2 linked regions of the Daphnia pulex genome follow. The protein of the gene in region 1 interacts with the protein of each later gene in a pairwise test. Links are inferred from orthologs where the notes say so. Each region holds a gene or a part of one and is shown in the gene's direction. Other genes may lie near its edges.

Region 1 (10,095 bases):
GAAGAACTGCATGCTGAACGTGTCTTCTGAAAATATCAGATCGCAAACTGATGTTAATGGATTGCTTTTCATGCCCTTTTATATGTATTCCCAATTTTACCCTTTCGTATGTTATTCAACACAGTCAGAAAACGGTACCGGTAGTGACGCACGTATATAGCTAATTTTCTATACTCTTTGACCTGCGTTACGTATCTACTTCGAGTTGACGACAAGATAACTTGAAAATTGTCTACAAAATTAAAGCCAGACTGTACTGGTACTAGACAGTGCCGTCCCCATCCAGCTGTTGGATGGAAAATTGATCAGGTCTTATCTATACAGTTACTGTGTGCTGATAGTATCTGCGCAAGCTCGTGCTGTCATGCAATTTTTTGCTCTTGATCAATCATCAACACCCCTCCCTCCCCCCAGCCACCACCCAATCATTTCCAGTACTGATGACGAGAATACCGTGAAATTTATTAACTGAAATCAAAGCGATGGCTTCATTGGCTCGAATTTGAAAATACGGTGGAAATGTTGATTGTTTTTTTTAGCCAGAAACGAGTTGCTCAATAAATTGTGTAACAAAATAATGATTCTGTTGAATCAACCGACACGTAATTATCAATAATGAAAATGCATTGAAAGTTGAATTTGTTTATTAGTTGTAGTAGGAACTTTTCTGTTTGGCTATGCGATAAGCGAGAAAAAACTGCTGACCAGCTAGTAGCTAGAGGCAATCGTACAATAATAATATGATTTCATCAAACACTCTCTCCTCACGGAAGTTAAATATTTAGAAGCGTGAATAGGGAGATGGGGCAGGAGGAGTAGCGCGCCCAGCACTTGTTTTCTTTGCCAGTGCGATAAGCGTGAGTGTACTGGTCTTCCAGTGGCTTTTCAATCAACTCCAGCTCGGGCAGCAACGTAGCATCGCGCCGGACACGGTTGTTGTTGCTGTTGCCATGGGCGGTCAGAAACTGTCGCATGATTTTGGGAAATTCTAGCAGGCTTGGCCTGTCGTGAAGTGTATAGTTTGAAATGATAGATATTTATGAAACCAGTGGCATTTGAATAATAAGATATAATGCGTTTACGTGAAAACCAGATGCATCAGTTTGCCTAGGATTCCGTGGTGGGCCAATGGAGCTTCGGCCAGCTCGCAAATGGCCCGTTGCATACAAACTTCGCCGTCGAATCCAAACCTTAAAATTTTAGCAATTGTAAAATTGCTTAATTAAATATTATTAATTTAGTAAGAATTTAAAGCGTCGTCATCACTTTTTGAACAGAATCTCAATATGTTGGTAAACGGTCCGCCTCTGTTCGTTCGCTCGTTGTTCTTCGAGAAAGTCGTAATCGATCAGATTGCTCTCGATTTGCCCTTCATCGCTCAGGTCTTTTTCGAGTTGATCCAGACTGCCGTAGCGATTGTTGAGCTGCGTGAATGTCGGCAAGACGAAGCGGAAAGGTAAGCTCATGGTGAACGAGGAGAAGGTGTTGTTGAGTGGACTGATGCCCACAGACATGTCGAACGCTATTTTGAGGCTCGTGTTATCTGGCAGTGATAAAGCCGTCCGACTGCTGGAACTCTGCCGGCGCTTTCGTTCCAGCTTCTCGTCAGATTTCACGTCGGCAATGGGGCTGCTGTAGTCTCCCGTGCCCGACAGCACTAATTCGTCGTCAGCACCGCGATTTGTTTGATGCTCGGCATCGTAGGAAACAGCAGCGAGGCTTCCAACCGCTAACAACAACCAGATGCGGATCATTTTTCGAATGTTTTGCAAGGACCCGTGTGTGTATACCTTTGACTGTGGCGGTAACTCGAGATGAACTGGTTGACTGGCTCGACAATCTTGTTACCTTTTATTGTTACCCTCCAAATTGACTATACGTGGAAAACTTTGGATGTCAGAAAATTTGCGTGTTCATTCAGTTGTAGTTTTATTTGTTTAGATAATGCGCCTCTTCCCATCTATTGTTGGAATATGTTAACAAAAGCGTTTCCTGTTTCCCGTCTGCCGGGAAGCGATGATGGGAATCGCACGATCCTCCTATCAAGTCGAACTCTATAGTCGCTTGGACCAAAAGAGTTATAGGCCGAATTTCCACGGAATCAACAAGTCGTGCATGGGTCAAGATAACTGTGTACCCGAGAACTCGAGTATACGCAATATTGTGTCTGTTTCACATAGCAACAAGATATTACTAGGTGTCCCAAAGAGGGTACAGCACTATACTGCCCTTCAGTCAAAATGTCAGCCTATATCAGCCGGGTGCTGAACTTGATCGAATAAACAAAGGGATCGTTATTCGTTTCCGTTACTCAGAAATGTAAACCGGTTCTCCATTTTCAAAACAGAGACACATGGCTGTATTACGGCACAAACAAACATGATCATCGCCAAATGGTCGAGCTCGTTCCATTCATTTTTGATTTTTCAAATATTGAAACAAACAGTTTTTTGTTTTATTTGCTCAGCAGAAAACTGGACCCAGTGTTGATAACCTAGGATCCAAATTTCGAGAATTGCGGCTACTATTCCACGTCAAAAAGCCTGTAAGAACTTTGCTCTTTCTGAAGTTTTTATACCGACCCATACTGAACTCCCACACTTTTCTGCGATAACAAAATAGAAACAGATTTATGGCCTCCTTGGCCTTACGATTTTCAACTTGAACGACACGTAATATTATATCGACGCTTTGAAGACACGACACATAAACATTTGGAACTGTAGGCTGGCAGAAAGCTTGGAACTCAGCAAAATTGATTATTTTATGACAATCAAATCGCTGAAAATCTCAAGTTAATATATTTAAAATTGAGAATTATTCACCGAATAAGTTTTTTTAAATGTAATTCTGTATAATTATATAGTTGAAATCACATAGTGTCTTGTTATGGCCTCTGCTTTGGATTGTGCTGAGTAGTTACAATTGACTTTCGTACACTGCGTATATCATACGTATTCAACTAATTCAAGGACTAAGAATCAAGTATCAGTTTGGACGAGATTTTATTTATGCAACGTTGTTGTATAGGATGTGAGTGCACTTTTTTCTAACACGAATATATCGAAATAGGAACTTTAGGTTTCAGAACAAATCACTGGTTATAGTCTCTACATTTTTTGTTTAAGTTAAAAGTCCAAAAGTTTGAAGACAGAAATTGGACATGCGGAGAAATGAGTGAGACAACCGCTGGCTGCTCTACCCTTCAAATAGGCGTCGTTGTATTCGTCCTTATTCCTTTTCCCCAAGAAATGCAGCTCAGGGGGCAGCGACGTAAAATTGATGAAATTCTGCTCGTGTTGAGGAAAATCCGATTCAGTTGGCCTAGTTTGCAAATAAAAGCTGTTAGTTTTATCGCAGGAGGAACCAAATTCGCGCTCTAAATTATCTTTACAAAAATAAGATGTCAAAGATTTTCCCGAAAAGTCCGTGATTGCCTAGTGGAGCTTCAGCTAGCTCGCATATGGCCCGCTTTAAGCAAGCATTGCCGTTGAATCCAAAACTGTTGAGAAAAAATTAAATTGAAACTTGAATCCCATTCACCTGATTGCAAATATAAAAAACAAATCAAAATCAAATATTTTACTTTTGAAAGAAACTTTCGGCATATTTGTAAACTTGTCTCCGATCATGATTAGCTCTTTGTTCCTCCATAAACTCGTGGTTCAGTTCATTTGAAATGCGGGACTCATCGTCATTTGAAGTTCCGGATGACATGCCAAAACTCGAGTAGAGTTCGTTCAGCGCGCTAGCAGTGGGTAGATCGAATGTGAGCGGCAAATCGAACCACAGGTAAGTCAATGTGGTGTTGAGAAGTGGAACGACGGGAATGATCAAATCCATCGTGACTGATAGCGTTCCACCGCTAGGCAGCGACAAAGCCGAGCGTCGGACTTTCTTATGGATCTTGGCCGATTCCACTCCAAGTATGATGGCAGCTACGAACAGCAACAATCTGAAAGAACGGCGTAGTTTCATTGCGAGATAGGTTTGAGATTGCTCTACCTGCTGCTTTAGCTTGTGGATTGTTACTGCGACATGTTTGTAAATGTTTCGTTATTTAAATACTTTCGGATCAGTCCGTGGGATCAAAAATGTTTTGGCTAAATCGCGTTCTTTAACTTCTTTTGTGACTTTACTAAAAGGTTTAGTCATGTATTGAACTCTATGTTACGTACCGTTCTGACATTTTTTTTTCTCATCCCACCATTTTATGAACCGGAGGACTGTGGGAAAATGTATCGCAAAGTGTAAGTAGGCTATGTGACAAAAGAATATTGAAGACGCGGAAGCTTGTCCAACTTTATTATAATAAAATGAATTCACACAGAATTATGTGAGTGACAAAGGATAGCAGTTTCCATTCGAATTTTCTTTATCCGGTTTTCAAGTGAAAAATGGTGAAGGCCAGCGCTCTTTTTCTTGTGAATCATGCAGTTTTTTTTTTTTAAGTCAAATTTAGATTGTACTTGAAGCCGGAGCGTGTACGAAAAATTATAATAGCAAATTTATTGATAAAAGCCAATTTCTCGCGTAAAAAAAGTAATACTCAGAAAATATTGAAATAGAAAAACGCGCAGTTTTATTGATTGTGAAATGGATGCTGTTTAGAAATATCGTCGTCGAAAAAATCGTCTGTCAATCTGTCATTACTACATTTTCAGTTCGCACTCACAGTCAGTTAATGAGTGCCAAAATAAAATAATTCCAAATCTACTTGTAAAAGAGAAATTAATCCAGTTATTTATCAATCGTAACAGCGTAAATTTTTAATAATTTGAAACAAATAATGATCTAAACTGTGATTGTCGTAAGTACATTATAGACGTGCCAGTGAAATTTTATCCAAGTTTTAATTCAAATTTGTAATTTTCTTTTTCATAGGATAAAGTATTCAACTAAATTCAATAAAACCAATGGAAAAAACTATGGACGATTGCAAGGAATTCACGAAAGAAAAGCATGCAAAGTATTTTCTAAGATGCTTGAATGCTTTGCCCTCTTCAATGGTGTCACTGGATTCCATAAGGTTTACTTGATACAAATGTTAAAAATAATGTGGACATCAATTAATTTTTAATTTTTTCTCTAGACTTTCAATGTCATTCTTTGCTATATCTGGTCTTGATGTGTTGGGGAGATTGGATTTACTAGACAAGCACAGAAAAGAATACATAAATTGGATATATCTTTTCCAGATTTTACCAAAATATGGTGATGAGTGTCTAGAACGCTGTGGATTCAGAGGATCACTTGCTGCCACATTTGCCCTTGAAAGTCAAGACAGTAGTCAGGTTGCCAGTATTGAAAACAAAGGGTCAGTTTCAAGTCATCCCTTAGATACTTCACATATTACAATGACATATGCAGCAATCAATACCCTCCTCATTCTTGGTGATGATCTGGGGAGGATACAAAGAAAAGGAATTTTAGCTGGTGTTAGAGCTCTTCAGCTGGAAAATGGAAGGTAAAATTAATCATTTAAAAACTAATGTGTATAAATATTAAATTACATGGAACTTTTTTTCAGTTTTGCCGCCACTTTGGAAGGTAGTGAGAGTGACGTTCGTTTCGTGTACTGCGCTTGCTGTATTTGCTACATATTGCAGGATTGGTCAGTTATAAACATTGAAAGCGCCACTAACTACATCGTGAATTCAATTGTGAGATGCAGAATTAAAACTTTTTGTCGAAGCAAATTTTTGTTTAATTATCAATGCCTTTTACATTCAACAGAGCTATGATGGAGCTATTGGACAAGACCGAAATCAAGAAGGACATGCTGGCCTGACATTTTGTGGAATAGCAGCCCTTAGTTTGATGGGAACCCTTGAAACAGCTCTGAGTTCAAATCAGGTTGACTCCTTGTATAAATAGTCGCAGTTACGGTATTTTCATAAGTCCAAACTGCCTTTGACTGAACTCAGAAAGCAAAACTAGTACGCTGGCTCGTCTCCCGTCAACAAAGTGGATTTCAAGGTCGGCCGAACAAACTACCAGTTGATACCTGCTACTCATTCTGGGTTCCAGCGACACTAAAAGTAAGGCCCTACGCTTAAACAGATGCAATTTAGATCCATTCAATACTTCATAAACAATCCTCTGCAGATCCTTGGTGCTCACCAATTTATCGACCGTAAAAGTAACCGGAAATTTGTTTTGGATACTCAATGCAATATCATTGGAGGATTATCAAAGTGGATTGATCACTCAAGTGATCCGCTACACTCGTATTTAGGTATTCTAAACGCTATCATTTTTAAGATGAATAAATCTATGAGGTTAAAAAATATAAATTTTGATTAAAGGTCTTGCTGGGTTAAGTGTTTGCGAAGAGACTGATTTGGTCGAGGAGATTCATCCAGCATTGAACGTGACAAAGAGAGCTTTCGAACACTGGCAAAAGCTTTTTGATAACTAATCAGCCTAAATTTCATCGATGCAACCCTATTATGCACAACTTTTCTTGACTGATTTCACACCTCATATTGTCAATTATTTGTCAACATGTATTCACGATCCCAACGAGCTCAAACATATACTTTAAAACCCATATTTTGCTTGTGTTTGTCGTTTCGTGGATTTGTTTTGAGCCCATTGGTTTTTAAGATCAACCTCACGAGCTTTTGCTTGGGCAGCCAAGTAAGTGATTTGATGCTTCTTCTTTTGTAGCTTGTTGTAGGCTATATCTGGACCTCTACTAGCAGACTTTTCTTCAGAAATTGCCTTCAAATATGACATGTTGGGATCATACGTCAAACGCTCTCCTTGAATATCTATAATTTGTGCATCATCTGGTAATTTGCGTTTGACTCCAGAGGAACCCTGAAGTGCCTGTAACTATTAGGCAAAAAACAATTAAATCTTCTACCAGATTTTTATATGAACAAGTACATACTGCAACATGGTCAAGTTCCAATCCAGCATATTCTGTTTGGTAAGTGTCTGAAATTCCAGCCATGTTATACTGCTGATTGGTAGGCATGCTAGGGTAAGCTGGTTCAGCTTGTTGGCCTGTTGAACTGATTGTTTGGAAGACTGGCCCAACATCCATTGGTTCTGCCTGCACTTTTAAGGCTGGCTCATCCATTGTAAAGAAGCTGTCAGATACATCCTCATCATCAGAATCTTTCTTGGAAGACTGCTGTCTAGCAACAGACTGAGGAATAAGAGGGGTACTTTTCTTCATCAGGGGTTTCGCAACTGGTTTTGCGATTTCTGAAGGAGGCTCATGATGTGAATTTTTTGGAGGTGGTAGTTTGGAGAATAGTTTGGATTGTCCTACAGCAAGTGGTTTGTCTATTTTCTTAATTTTTTTTGTTTCTGTATCATCTTCCAGCTAAATGAGAAAAACATCAGTGTAATGGAAACAAAATTAGATATAAATGGAACTTACATCAGCTAGTGACGGTATGCCAATTACAATTTTTCCATTCTTTCTTTGGCTTATAATTGATAGTAGCTCAGATTTCTTCAAATTTGCTTTTTCTTTACTAGCAAGCTCTGCTAGTTTGAGTTCTTTTTCGGAAGGTTTTGGTATATCATCTAAATCTTCACGAATGCTCCCATGTTCATTTTTGTATTTAGAGAAAACTATTGCAGGCGATTGATCCATTTCTTCATCGGATTCACTGCCACTTTCATCATATGCCACCAAATTTAACGCCATTGTGTTGATTATGAAGAAATGTTTAAAACAAAATTACAAATAGTTCTGCTTGTTGACTTATTGTGACTGCTCTCTGTAATTTGTAAGGCCGACTAACTCTGTCTTGTCCGTGCGACTGACGAACTGTCACTGTGCATCTAACTTAAGATTCAAAACTCATTAGTAGATGTCGCCACTATCGCCCTTGTTGTTCCTGAACCGTGAAATGAGAGGAAATGAGAAATGAGCGAAACAAATTGTTGCTAATTCCTGTGATTTCAAATACCAAATTGAACTTCGTATCTTATGTAGGTTTATCTTGACCTATTTTTCTTATTTTTACACTGTATCAACTTATTTCTTCAAATTCTAGATGCATACTGTATTACTGTACTGTGTACTGCCACCAACAAGTTGACTTAGTGCTCAGTCACTTTCTGACTTTCCATCTATTAGACCCTCATGCTGTCAAAAGCCTAAAACTCATGTTTGAAGCACACATATAGTGGAATACTAATGTACCGAGATAAGGTATTTGCACTTTACTGCTACAAGACCATTACATTTCAGATTTTCTTATAACATAGGTATCCTTGCTCATGAACCACAGCATCTTTTCTGAATCTTGCATATTTGGTGGCGTACCCTGCAACAGCATGTTTGTTGTTATGGCTGTTTTTACTTCGGTTTAGAAGGCAACCCAGCTAAGAGTTAGTAGAGTTTTATTTTTTATAGGTAAATTTGTGTAAATTTGGAAATAGAGAGAGAATTTTCAATTTCCTTGTCCCATTGCTGCTTAGAGTTTCAGTGACATGAAGAGTGTGAAGTGAATAACCTGCACTGTGTATGTACATGTACCAGATCTGTACATGAAAACATGTATGTACATGAGGACAGATATATAACAGCTAATAGGAAATAATTTTATTTTTTAAATCCATATAGCCAATAATCATTTTATTCTTTCCTACAGATGTGCATAAACGAAAGTTATGAATTTCGTTTTGGGGTCAATGGAGTTGGCGCTGGTTGCCGTTACTGGCCTTATGCGACGTCTCGATATCAGTTTGGAATAATAGCTCTGGACTCTGAGGAATCCTCACTCATACTACTATACGATCATACAGGTAACGTAACCTAGCAGTCAACATAAGCGAGGAGTTTTAGATTCATTACATTTTTTGCATGTTTTCGTTTTGTTTTTTTGCATGCAAGTCAACCTGTAGACAGGTCGACCAGTTTGTCTTCTCGATTGAAGGTCACGAGAAACATTACATAAAACTGGCATGCGGTTGTGTAGAGGTTGGGTGAGAATGACACGTGTTTCATCATTATCAAAGCAGGTACAATATCCGCAAGGGTAAGCTTTTTGGTATTCATTTTGATATTGGTTTTTGTAGACCCATCCCCAGCAACGTCTACCTAAAGAAAGAAAGGCCAGTTTGCATTTCAATCGAAGGTCATGGAGATCATTAAGTAAAACGTGTCATGCAGTGGCGTAGAGGTTGGGTGAGAACGGGACGTTTTGTATCATTATCAAGAAGGTAAAATAACCGCAAGGCTTAATAGGAGGGGTGAGAAAAAGTCGTATAAAAGGCGAGAGAAAAGTCGATAGGGCTCAGTCGAGCGAGTATCTCCGACACGGTAAGAGCTGCTGTGCATTATTTGCTATCAGCTGCAATCTTCGTCGTATTGTCAGTTAATTTTCAGTAAAGTAAATTATTTCAGTAAATTTTCTGTTGTTCCATGGAGTTATGTATCAAATTTCAATTTTTTCTCTTTGTTAATATGCTAGTTATTTTTGCATATTATTTTTAAATTATTTATTGTCTAGTCGTATGTAAGGGCAAAGAAAAGGCGAAAGAAATCAGTCGAGTGAATATTTCCGATATACAAGAGCTAAAGTGCACCATGTGTCACCAACTGCATTCTTCGTCGCGCTACCAGTTTCAATCATGGGTGAATATTCTGTTTTTTTGTATGGAAAGTTTTATTCTATTTTTATTTCAATTTGCTATTAGCCAGTTATTGTTGAATAATAATGTTTGAATTTAATAATTGTCTAGTAAACTGTGCTGTTGTTGGGTGTTGTATCGTTGATAGCTGGGTCGACCACTGGTGTACCGATGATTCTTGGGTGTGGCGGATACCAAAGCACTACACTGCCGCCTTACTACACAACATACAACACAACCAGTTGCTACACCAATGCCTTAAATACTACTCCACCAAAGAACCAGAGTGTTACACAACTACAAATGCCGCGCCAGCTTATTACACCGAGGCTCCCTAACACAACACCACCAAGGCATCGGAGTACTACACCACTACATATCATGGGTAAGTATTATGTTATGTGGAGTTTTAATATGCCAACTGCTAAAAACAAAAATTCTTTATCGTCTATTCGTATGAAAGGAGAGAAAAGGTGAAAAAATTAAGCAGCC
Region 2 (10,418 bases), on another chromosome or scaffold:
GAGGCTTTCAATCTTCTCTTGCAGACGGTGTAGTTCGACCTGAGGACCTCGCTTGGATGGATTGTTAGCAGTATCACTTGGAAATTTATCCGACTCAGTCTGGACCAATTCTGTATCTGTTTCTTTGATTACTTTACGATTGCCAGGGCCTTCAGATAGCACAACTTTCTTTGGCTTCGCTCCACCGAAGGCCAAGGATTTCAGCTGAAAATGATATACAACAATTAAGAAATTTAAGTATTAAACATTATTACTTATTTTACAGAATGGTCTTTACCTCTTCATTTTCCTTTGCCACAATCAATTTCTTAACAGTGATTGGGTTAAGACCACCCTTATTTCTCGTTACCTCTTTATTCTTGGGTTTGGCTTTTTCATTTTCATCAACCACCACGGGCCGGGCAGCTCGGTCGTTGCTGCTGCGGTTTGCTCCTCCGCTGGAGTTGTGGCCTGAGTCGGGGCCCTAGTGGGGATCGGTGTCTCTTTGAGTAGCTCCTCTTCAGCGCTGTCCGTATCGAACAGCCCCTTCGATTTGCCTTTCAAGTTAACAGGCTCAGTTCAAGGTGTGATCCCTTTGCCTGGCTCAGGATCTTTGGCAGATCTGAGATGCTGCTGTAAATGTCAGGTCACCATCACGTCTTTTCCAGACGATCGTACACACATAATTTGGTCTTGTAGAGCAAGTCGATAGTTTCACAGAATTTTATTGATTATATGTAGCGCTCCCACTCGAATCAATTCGCGTCCAAAATCACAATTCGAACTGAATTGCTTTTTTGAAAACGCAATTCGAGTTGAATATGAATTGATTCAAATTGCCAGAAACTCAATTCGAATCCATTCGAATGAAATCACGAAAAAATCTAAAAATTCTTTTTTTAAATTAGGCAAGAAATATTACACAAAAACATCCATAATTTTAACTGTTTAATTAATTGCAGTAGAATATCACTTAAATCGACTGGATTTAGTGATTATTCAATTATTATAATAGAATATTTGTTCGTTTAAAAGAACCCAAACAATACCCATCCCCTTCGTTTATCGAAACGAAGAGGTGGCACATCTAGCGGTCGAAATTGAAACTAAAAATATCCAAACTTTGCAAAAATTTTGTCAAATTTGACACGAATTCACCCAAATATTCGTGAATATTCACAATGAATATTCATGAATCTGGAAATGAATATTCAGGTAAATTTCCATGAATATTTACCCAAAAATATTACAATTCAAATGAATATGAATTTTGATTTTTCCAATTCGAGTTGAACTGAATATTCGAAAAATCTCAAAAAAACGCAATTCAAGTTGAATCGATTCGAATCAATTCGAATCGATTCGAATCAAAGGCAATTCGGGTGGGAGCGCTAATTATATGTATCAAAAATATGAAAGAGTTTATAAATGTAATATGACAAGCATATTCTTGTTTGATCCGTGGCCCACGGTCGTTTTCTTATTCGGTATCGTGCCTCTTCTTGTGAGTCTGAGAAAAAGAAAAATGACAGTTAAGATAACGTTATGTAATAAAAAGAGTTTTTATATTTACCTCAGTCAGTTTGGCGGTCAATTTGTCTTTTTTTGGTCTGCTTTACCCATATCGCCAAGAAATTTGGCTTTTTCTGTCACTATTCATAAAAAATCGATTAAATTAGGAATTAAAAAAAAAATCCAACAAAATTTTACATTCGCGTATATAGAGTCCGCGAAATTTAGAGATTTGAGTTTTTGAATCATAACACTCTTCGTAGTTTGTCAATTTCTGACTGGAGGCTTTCAATCTCAATATTTTTCTGGTTTAACTCGTCTTGCAGACGGCGTTGTTCGACCTTAAGATACTATATAAATTGTGTGAATTACTGCTTTTTTATTTCAACCGAGGCCGTTGGTGTCGGTGTCTCTGCCAGGCTCGTCGAGGCCAATTTTTGGCATAGGCTGATCCACCTGAATCTGGTGCTTAGCCAGCACTGCCAGAATCTCAGAGGTTACCGAGTCGCTTGCCGTAGTAAGGAACACATATAAACAACACATATAAATTGCCAGTTCAGCTGAAAAAAATCTGATTATTGTCGATGGTTTCAAAGAATTTTATTTATTATTATTCAAAATAAATGACGAGTTGATAAATGCAAGAAAGGAAATTGATAGGACGAGCTTCCCAGATCCGTGGCCCACGGTCTATTCAGTATCATGCCTTTTTTTAACGGTTTCAGCAGTCAATTTATTTTGAATCTTGGCTTTTTTGTCAATACCTGCAAGCATGTTTGCTTTTTCCTTGACTATATATAAAACTAGATTTAATTAGGGGGAAAAAAATTAAAAAAATCTTACGTTCGCGTATATAGGCTCCACGATAATAAAAAACTTCGGCATTTGAATTACGTAAATCTCCCTGTAATTTGTCAATCTGCAATTTCAGGTTTTCTATTTCAAGATTTTTCTCGTTCAATTGAGTCTCATCTTTTCCAACAATACCCTCTTGCGCTTGGGGATCATGAATCAGTTCCTAAAATGAAAGAGAAAAATGTCTTAACCTGGCAACGAAAAAAATAAATAAAAAAAATACCTTAGGACCTTGCTCTTCCCTGACCTTAGGACCCTTTTTTTTGGATAGCTTAGCCACTGGCAATTTCAATTTTTGGGCAGCTGCCCCTTTTTTCTCTTTTGAAGCTGTAATAGCTGCTCTTTCCTCTTCATCGTCGGTGGAGGATTCCGTTCCAAGAACTGAAAAACGAGATGGTACAGCAGTCATGTTGCGATCGATCGCTTCCAGAACAAGAAATGGTGACGAAGTAAAATGGCGGGACGCGCGTCCGACGAAAAAGGAGGGAAGACGTAACAAAATGGCGACTCGCGCCCACGCGCTGACATGACTCGACACTTCAAAACTCTTTTCTTTCGTTCGTTAACGTTCTTTCAGAAAGACAATACAAAGTGTACGATCATACGATCACTTAAGACAAATGTTCGACATGAAATATGTTGCGATCGACGAAATAAACGGCGAAAAGATACTCGTTTAACTTGTTCTGCATTGAGCACACGCTCCGACAACGAAAAATCTATTGCACCGACAGACTGTCGGTGCTCGAATGGTATTTCAGCTATTGCACCGACAGACTGTCGGTGCTAGAATGGTATTTCAGCTATTGCACCGACAGTCTGTCGGTGCCTGTCGGTAGTTCCTCTTTCCACCAATAGATGCCTATCTTGATTCGCTGGGTTCGCCCGTACTCAAGCGCCAAACGTACACTGAAAATTCAAGTAGGGGGCGATTCATCTCGTCCACGGTCCACCAGAAAGAGGGGAGGGGGGAAGACGGGAGGGACAGGGTGCAGCATTACCAAACCGTTTCGCAACGATAGTAATGATAACATGAAAATTTAGTTAATTTACTACGATTTCAAGGCTTGTTAAGTCTATGAAGCTAAGTCTAAGGCTAGTATCGTAGTATGAAGACGGTCAATTCTAAGATATTGAAATCAAATGCAAGAGCCGGTTTAGTCGTGATTCGATAGACGGCAAGATGTCGTCGAAATTGATGGGTTTCAGCATCCCTCTTACCGTATGCGCAACGTCGACTCCATTCCTATAATTTTTTAAAATAATACCTTTTCATAATAAATGGGTTCAAAATAGAAAGGAAATTTTTTGATTAAGCAATAGATAATTTTGTAATTTTGAAATATTGGTGGTGGACTGGTGACACTGGTTGTTTGTATTATTGTATAGTATCACTTTTCTATGATCTGATCAGGGAGGAGTATAGAGGAGAAAGCAGTCCTATCCCGCGCTGTAACCCATAGAGGTCCGGGGAGTGGAAGCCGCCACCAGCAATATTTTTGAAAAACACTTCAAAAATCAGAATTAAATTTCTGATTACTTTTTGTTTGAAGTGTTTTTCAAAAATATTGCAAATAACCCCTGCTATTTAACAAAATCATCGGCGGGTAGTCAGCTGTTCCACGCAAGCTTATGGGGAAACGGCTGAAAACTTACCCTCTACCTCATTGTGCTGCCAACTGGTGGCGGCTTCCACTCCCCGGACCTCTATGGGTTCGACTCCCCTCTCAGAGGAATAGCAAACTGCTTTCTCCTCTATACTCCTCCCTGATCTGATCTTCAATAAAAAGCCACCATGTGAGTGGGAAAATGAAACCATAAAAATATGATACGAGGTTGTCATTATCGAGAATGTAATGACGAAACAAATAATCATTTAGCACCGATCCACTGATTTGACTTATAAGTTTTATTAAGAGTTAAATGACTTAGCTCTTCTCAATTTTCATGAAAATTTATAAAACAATTTCAAAAGTCTGTCTAGGCATAACAATTGACAATGATGTTGATGTTTGAGCAGACGAAACACAAAAGCAAATTCATGATTTTTTTTAGCTAGGCGCGATTCGCGCGAAGTAGTCTTCGTTATTCAACAAATTTCTTTATAAATCTAGTGATTAAATAATGGCAGAAAAGTCAAAGGAATCTTTGACAGATTCCTCTGATGAGGGCTCTGATCAAGAACCTTCATATATATTCTACCGTGATAGACAAGAATGGAGTGATGTTGTGCCCGTCGAGTTACATGAAGGACCTTTTCCGGTCGTCGCTATTGCATATTCCGACCGATGTGATTATATATATTTCTTTTGCCTCTTGTTTATTTCAATATATTCAATATTTGTTTCCTTTCCAGTCAAAGACATATTTAACTATTTCCGAGCGATTGTGTTGAAAAATGAGATCTCAGAGAGAGCATTTCAGTTGACAAGTGATGCACTTGAACTGAATCCTGCTAATTATACAGTTTGGCAATATAGGTAATTCTAGAATATTCTCAAATTATGCTGAAATTGCATTTAACATGTATTTTTCACCTTAGACGAACTGTATTAAAAGGACTTGAAAAGAGTATTCCAAAAGAACTAACATTTGTAAGAACAATTATAGAAGATCACCCCAAGAACTACCAAGTTTGGTAATATGTCTTCCATTTTATTTGTTGAACATAAGTTGCAATAACCAACCTAACCTTTTATCTCCAAAGGCATCATCGTAGAGTACTGGTAGAGTGGTCAGGTGATCCATCTAGTGAACTTCGTCTTACCGAAATAGTGCTAGCTCAAGATGCCAAAAATTATCATGCATGGCAACACAGACAATGGGTGCTTGATACATTCAAACTCTTTGATCATGAATTGGAGTTTGTAGAGCGCTTATTAGAAGATGATATTCGAAACAATTCAGCATGGAATCAACGGTATTTTGTTGTAAAGCAAACGACAGGCTTTACTGAAGATATAATCAACCGGGAGCTGACATTTGCTGTCAACAGTATAAAGATAGTATGCAATAATGAAAGCGCATGGAACTACTTACGCGGGTAAAACTTTCACGGATGTTTTTGTAGTTCGTGTAAAAATAACAACGTTTTTATGCAGTATTTTATCGCATTGTCCAACTGGACTGAATGGTCATCCAATAGTCGAAGAGCTTTGCCAGTTTCTGGACGAGAACAAAAGTGAAGCGCCATTTTATTTTGCGTTTTTGGTCGATAGAATGGAAGAAATGATGCAGTCTGATCCTTCGAAACGCGAAGTCCTATTACCCAAAGCAGATGAAGTTTGAACCTGTTTTTTTTTGTTTTTTTTGTTTTTTTAAATACTCTAAGTTTATTAATAATATGTTCTTCTCATAGGTGCTCCAGTTACTTGCAACAAAAATGGATCCCATTCGCCGTGAATACTGGCTTTTTCTGTCACGCTATTTCAATTCACAGTTTGCCATTTGATAACGTATCTCGTCAATTAAAATACACCTTTTTTAAATGGTAAGTTATGATTGTTTATGTGCTAACAAGAATTCAAGTGGATATTTTCGCACATTGATGTGTTGTAGAATTTTAGTATTCAGAACCGATTGACTTAGCCGGTGTATTTGGCCATGTTGTAATACTATAAAACGAGCATTTTCAAACAAGAGAGAGAGAAAAAAAAGGAAAAACAGTTATGGACATAGGTGACCAAATAAGGATCATTTCGATTTTTTCATCATTGAAATATTTGTGGAAGAACTCTGAAATTTGTAAAAATGTAAAGTTAAGTGAGAGCAAATTTGGCTTTCAGTAAATGGCGAAACGCGACACATTTTGTGATGATTTGGTAAGACAACCCGTCACTGATCTTTAATTTTAATGTTTAGACTTGATGGACTCTTTCTTTTGCTTGATCGAAGGACTGCCACCTTTTGTTCGTTTCCACTTCATCCGCCGATTTTGGAACCATACTTTAACCTAAATTTTATCAAATGATTTAAGGTTTAGTTATTCATGTTTCTTCTTATTATTGAAACTGTATCGAATGTGCTTATCATTTTCACTTGCCTGCCTTTCCGTAAGATCAAGAGCAACCGCAATTTCGTAACGACGTAGTCGCGTCAAGTAATTTGAGTGGGCGAATTCGTTTTCTAGCTCACGTATCTGCTGTTTGGTAAAAGCAGTTCGTTCCTTCCTTGGTTTATTTGAGATTGTGTCCCCACTGCTAGATTCCTCTGCAAAAATAATTATGTTGTGTTTTTATTCTTGCTTGTTTGTATTTGAAATTCACACTAAAATTTACCGTCATCTTCTGAGCTGCCGGCTCCCGCCAGATCAAGAGAGAAGTCTTCATCTAGGTTAAAATCATCAATAGCAGAGGAGATGGAAGATGACGTGATTGGGGGCACTTCGTCGTGGAAAACCTGTGTCCCTGGGAACGGCTGTTGTTGGTAGTGGTCTTGATGTCCAAGGAAAGTCTGATTAGGTGGAGAGAATGCTGGAAGTGACATGGGCGATTCACAAGACGACGGCAATGAATAGGGTCGAACTCCTGGTCCACCGGAGTCATCCTGAGGCTGTTGCAATGTAGACGTCAAACTTTGATAGCAAGGTAAGGATCCTCCACATCCATTTGCGTAATTGTATCCGGCACTATCTGCGGTAGTGGGCGATGCGTTCTCCATGAGATAATTGTATGTAACGTGATTCACATTGACGCAGGTAAGACGAAATGTTGGTCCCGGATCCGTGGCGCTACCGTAGCTGTTGTGAGATTGGCGAGACTGCGAAGGAGAGTAATAAAGACTCATTTCAAATGGAACTTTTTAGCTCGGTACTGACAAAAGGAGTTTTGTAGTCGTCAGGAGTTGGACGACTTGCAACGACAATTCCAGTCCACAGTCAGATACCGACTGTTAAAAGAACTCCCTAGACAAGTCGACGTCTTCACTGCCTAAATCTTAGCTTGATGCAGTTCTGGCAAGGCGAGAAGATTGAAGGCGGAGACTTGCGTTCTTTCGGTGCGAGCCGATTGGTTGTGTTGCTTCACTCCCTTCGCCTTCCAGTTGGCGTTTTTCCTTCCCAAATCCTGTTGCGGCACCTTTCTTTTATTTGCTCAGCTGTCCACGCCGCTTCGTCCAATTCATCAATCTTAATCCAATTTGAAGTCCCATATTTCACTGGCATATGATTTGACAACACTGATCTCTTACCATTGCATTTAAATTGTGCGAGTACAATTCACATTGCCGCAATATTCAAAGTTCACCCTAAAAATTGACTTTGTAACCCAAACAGTTATAAAGTTAAAATTTGATCCTTGCAAGACTAGACCATAAAGCCCAAAGGAAAATGGAGCGTTCTGCTTACTGCATAGAATAGTATACAATTTGACTTTTACAACAGTGCAGCTTCAAAATTAAAGGAGGTATGTTTTAGTGTTTACCATTTTAAACTCCTTTTTCTAAATGTCCCCGCCACCCAATATTGTTATCAGGGATACATTCCATGGAGGCGCCAGGCTGTCTGCCAGGACCAAGGACCCCCGGAGTTTAGGGTCTACTACCCCCCTTTCTTTTAGGCTATCCGTTTTCCCGTCACAGTGAAATTTCTTTTCCAAGCAGAACAACTCGCCAGGAAGAATTCAGTTTATAACTGATGGTTTGTTATTGAGTTGCAGTTGTGACTTTTTCCATCTAACAACAACCGGAATAGTCTACTTCATTAAAATGGTGTTCTTCAATAGTTAAGTTGTAATCAGTTTAGCAGTAAGCTTATTTATGTATAATTATTTTTCAAATCAGCCTCTTGAGCAATCGATTCAAGACTTGAAAGCGGCGCAAATTTGTATTCTAAATTAAATGTTCTCTTTTGACCGTAGATACACTTTTTGCACTGGACAGATCGCAATAGGTGGGAAGAGAAAAAGGGCAAAAGTCGTTTCATCGTGTCCAACGCCTTCTCCGGTTCGGGTATCAATTTACGTTGACAGCCCCCCATCCTTTTTTTTTTTTGTTTTACTATTTCCCACCTCCAAAGACCCCCCTCTCTACACATCGACCTCTCTGTCTCACCCTCGGCGCCAAGCAGTCTGGCAGGTTCACAGTAAAAATCCCCATTTCCTTCTCTTTATTTTATGTGTATTTTACTACGTTACTGGGGCTTGCCGATGGTCCAGTTGTGAAGCTCTAATGAATGGGCGAAGCCTGCTCACACTTGAGCCGTAACTAAATAGCTTTGCCTTTTCGATACAGAGAGTAGCAGTGAAGATGGCAGGTTTCACATTTCGCACCCCATTAACCGACAGGAAGTTCATTCCTTTTTTTTTCCAAGTCTCAGGAAATCGCTGGATGCTGGAGTTATGGAAATTCAACGTAAAATCGTGTTAACAGTGAACACACTTTTTTTCATAGTAAGATGCCATCAGTTTCTAGTACATTTGAAAGGGAGGGTTAAAATTGATAAGATAAAGTGTGATTCTTTTTCTTTTAGCGGTCTTATTCGGGAAACCTGTTTTCGCAAGTGATGGACGGGCCGTTTCTACTTCCGCCGCTCCAGGAGGCCCTTCTACTCCCACAGTAACGCGAGTCTGTAAAGAGTCTTTGGATCGATACACACTAGCTGCAATTTCCAATTTCTCAATAGTATTTACAAATTGGAAAATTTCCAGTAGTAAAAAATTATTCATAGAGAGGTAACGTTGACTAAGATCGAAATTCTAAATACCTTGCACTTTCAGTAAGTCGGTCAGTAGCGAACAGAAAGAAGTAATATGAAGTACTTCTTTTATCTAATCTAATCCTTTCAGATTTGTCCGCGTTAAATTTTCAGATTTTTTGTTACCCAATCATGCTTCATTTTCTTTAACATTTTTTTTTTTTTCAGAATATTGGAGCTCTTTAGAATTCAAATGTAGGTGTGTACCGTCCATTAGGAGGCCGTCATTTTTACTCTCCAGAAATTATGAATGATTAGCTGTTACAAATTTTTTCGCCCATCTAGAACTCGACTGGCCCTGCCCAATATTCTTGGATCTTGTGTTTGTGAGTATAAAGATATATCCATTCGAAGAATTAGATTATTTGGTCAACGCCCGCACATCGTTAAGCATTAAACTGCGCTCCAGCTCAGATGCTGTGAATCATAGTTAGCATAAAACATCCGAATGTGAAAAGCTTAGTACGCTCGTGTTGGTTATCAGTTTTTTTTTATTCGGGTAGCCATTCATTACGGATGAACGTTTTAAAGCCCCCCTTTTTTTAAATTTCAATTTACAGTGGAATAAAATCTTTTTGCCGTAACTTTAAAAGAAAAATAATAGAAAAATTTATCGTTTGAGACTTGATTTATTGATCTACGTTAGAGCTCTTGTTGATTTAACTTATCCGTAGCGGCGTGAGGTTTGGGGGGCACTAGAGTATGGCTAGGTTGTGTTGATACAGTCAACGATGACGATCCCCATTAAGAAAGATGGTCAATAATGTAGTTGATGTCTGCAGTCAGAAATCACCGAAAGGCAAAACAACCACAAGGGCATCAGTAGAGAAGAGAAACATAGGGAGCAGGATATGCGGCGTCCAGAACGATGGCAATTTTGATGAGTTTTGCAGGACCACGGACTTCTTTTTGCCTCCTTGTTTCTCATAGTAGTAAGGGCTTGGAATGAAGAAGCACCACCTGGCAGAGCCATCAAGAATATTTGAAAGGAGCGCCCACATTGGGGTTTGAGAACGGCTAAGCAAAACATTAGACTCAATCCAGAAGCTCAGTAAGCCAAACAGTGATTTTTCACTCCCGCTCCTTTTCCTTTCCCCCACATTGGACCATCACCATCGTTGGCCCATCGACACTCAACACAATAAAACAACAAACAAAATACCGTACTAAGGACTTCTGTAGTCTAGGCTAATCACGAAACGCGATCGTGTAACATTGCAGTTTTCGCTAACTAAAGAGAGTAACCTTTTTGTGAGTTTTGTCACGATAAGAACCTTCTCATCTTACCACTTTCACATTATACTGTGAGAAAGTTTGTCTCTCGGACAAATTAGTCGAATTTCAACACGCATACCGAGTAATGCTCACACGAGAAAATGCC

Evidence for each region.
Region 2: the proteins of geranylgeranyl transferase type-1 subunit beta-like (region 1) and protein farnesyltransferase/geranylgeranyltransferase type-1 subunit alpha-like interact in binary tests that used the Homo sapiens proteins (3 or more experiments, as listed by UniProt). The link is inferred for Daphnia pulex from reciprocal best matches to the Homo sapiens genes PGGT1B and FNTA.

What each region holds. Positions count from the first base shown.
Region 1 is NC_060023.1:9,027,259-9,037,353, forward strand, and holds geranylgeranyl transferase type-1 subunit beta-like, read left to right. Parts: upstream 1-4,623; 5' UTR 4,624-4,810; intron 4,811-4,884; 5' UTR 4,885-4,916; coding exon 4,917-5,029; intron 5,030-5,092; coding exon 5,093-5,467; intron 5,468-5,530; coding exon 5,531-5,663; intron 5,664-5,736; coding exon 5,737-5,856; intron 5,857-5,927; coding exon 5,928-6,041; intron 6,042-6,108; coding exon 6,109-6,238; intron 6,239-6,308; coding exon 6,309-6,421; 3' UTR 6,422-6,543; downstream 6,544-10,095. Other genes in the region: uncharacterized protein LOC124197967, read right to left, coding at 1-72; uncharacterized protein LOC124197979, read right to left, coding at 774-1,002, 1,083-1,190, 1,267-1,754; uncharacterized protein LOC124197980, read right to left, coding at 3,129-3,324, 3,395-3,502, 3,587-3,978; proline-rich protein PRCC-like, read right to left, coding at 6,544-6,840, 6,899-7,339, 7,397-7,669. UniProt on the Homo sapiens protein: Catalyzes the transfer of a geranyl-geranyl moiety from geranyl-geranyl pyrophosphate to a cysteine at the fourth position from the C-terminus of proteins having the C-terminal sequence Cys-aliphatic-aliphatic-X.
Region 2 is NC_060020.1:5,695,795-5,706,212, reverse strand, and holds protein farnesyltransferase/geranylgeranyltransferase type-1 subunit alpha-like, read left to right. Parts: upstream 1-4,371; 5' UTR 4,372-4,470; coding exon 4,471-4,636; intron 4,637-4,702; coding exon 4,703-4,826; intron 4,827-4,888; coding exon 4,889-4,984; intron 4,985-5,053; coding exon 5,054-5,389; intron 5,390-5,447; coding exon 5,448-5,628; intron 5,629-5,704; coding exon 5,705-5,797; 3' UTR 5,798-6,196; coding exon of another isoform or gene 6,197-6,298; 3' UTR 6,299-6,388; coding exon of another isoform or gene 6,389-6,555; 3' UTR 6,556-6,622; downstream 6,623-10,418. Other genes in the region: uncharacterized protein LOC124192714, read right to left, coding at 2,182-2,282, 2,335-2,509, 2,570-2,755; homeobox protein MOX-2-like, read right to left, coding at 6,197-6,298, 6,389-6,555, 6,624-7,131. UniProt on the Homo sapiens protein: Essential subunit of both the farnesyltransferase and the geranylgeranyltransferase complex.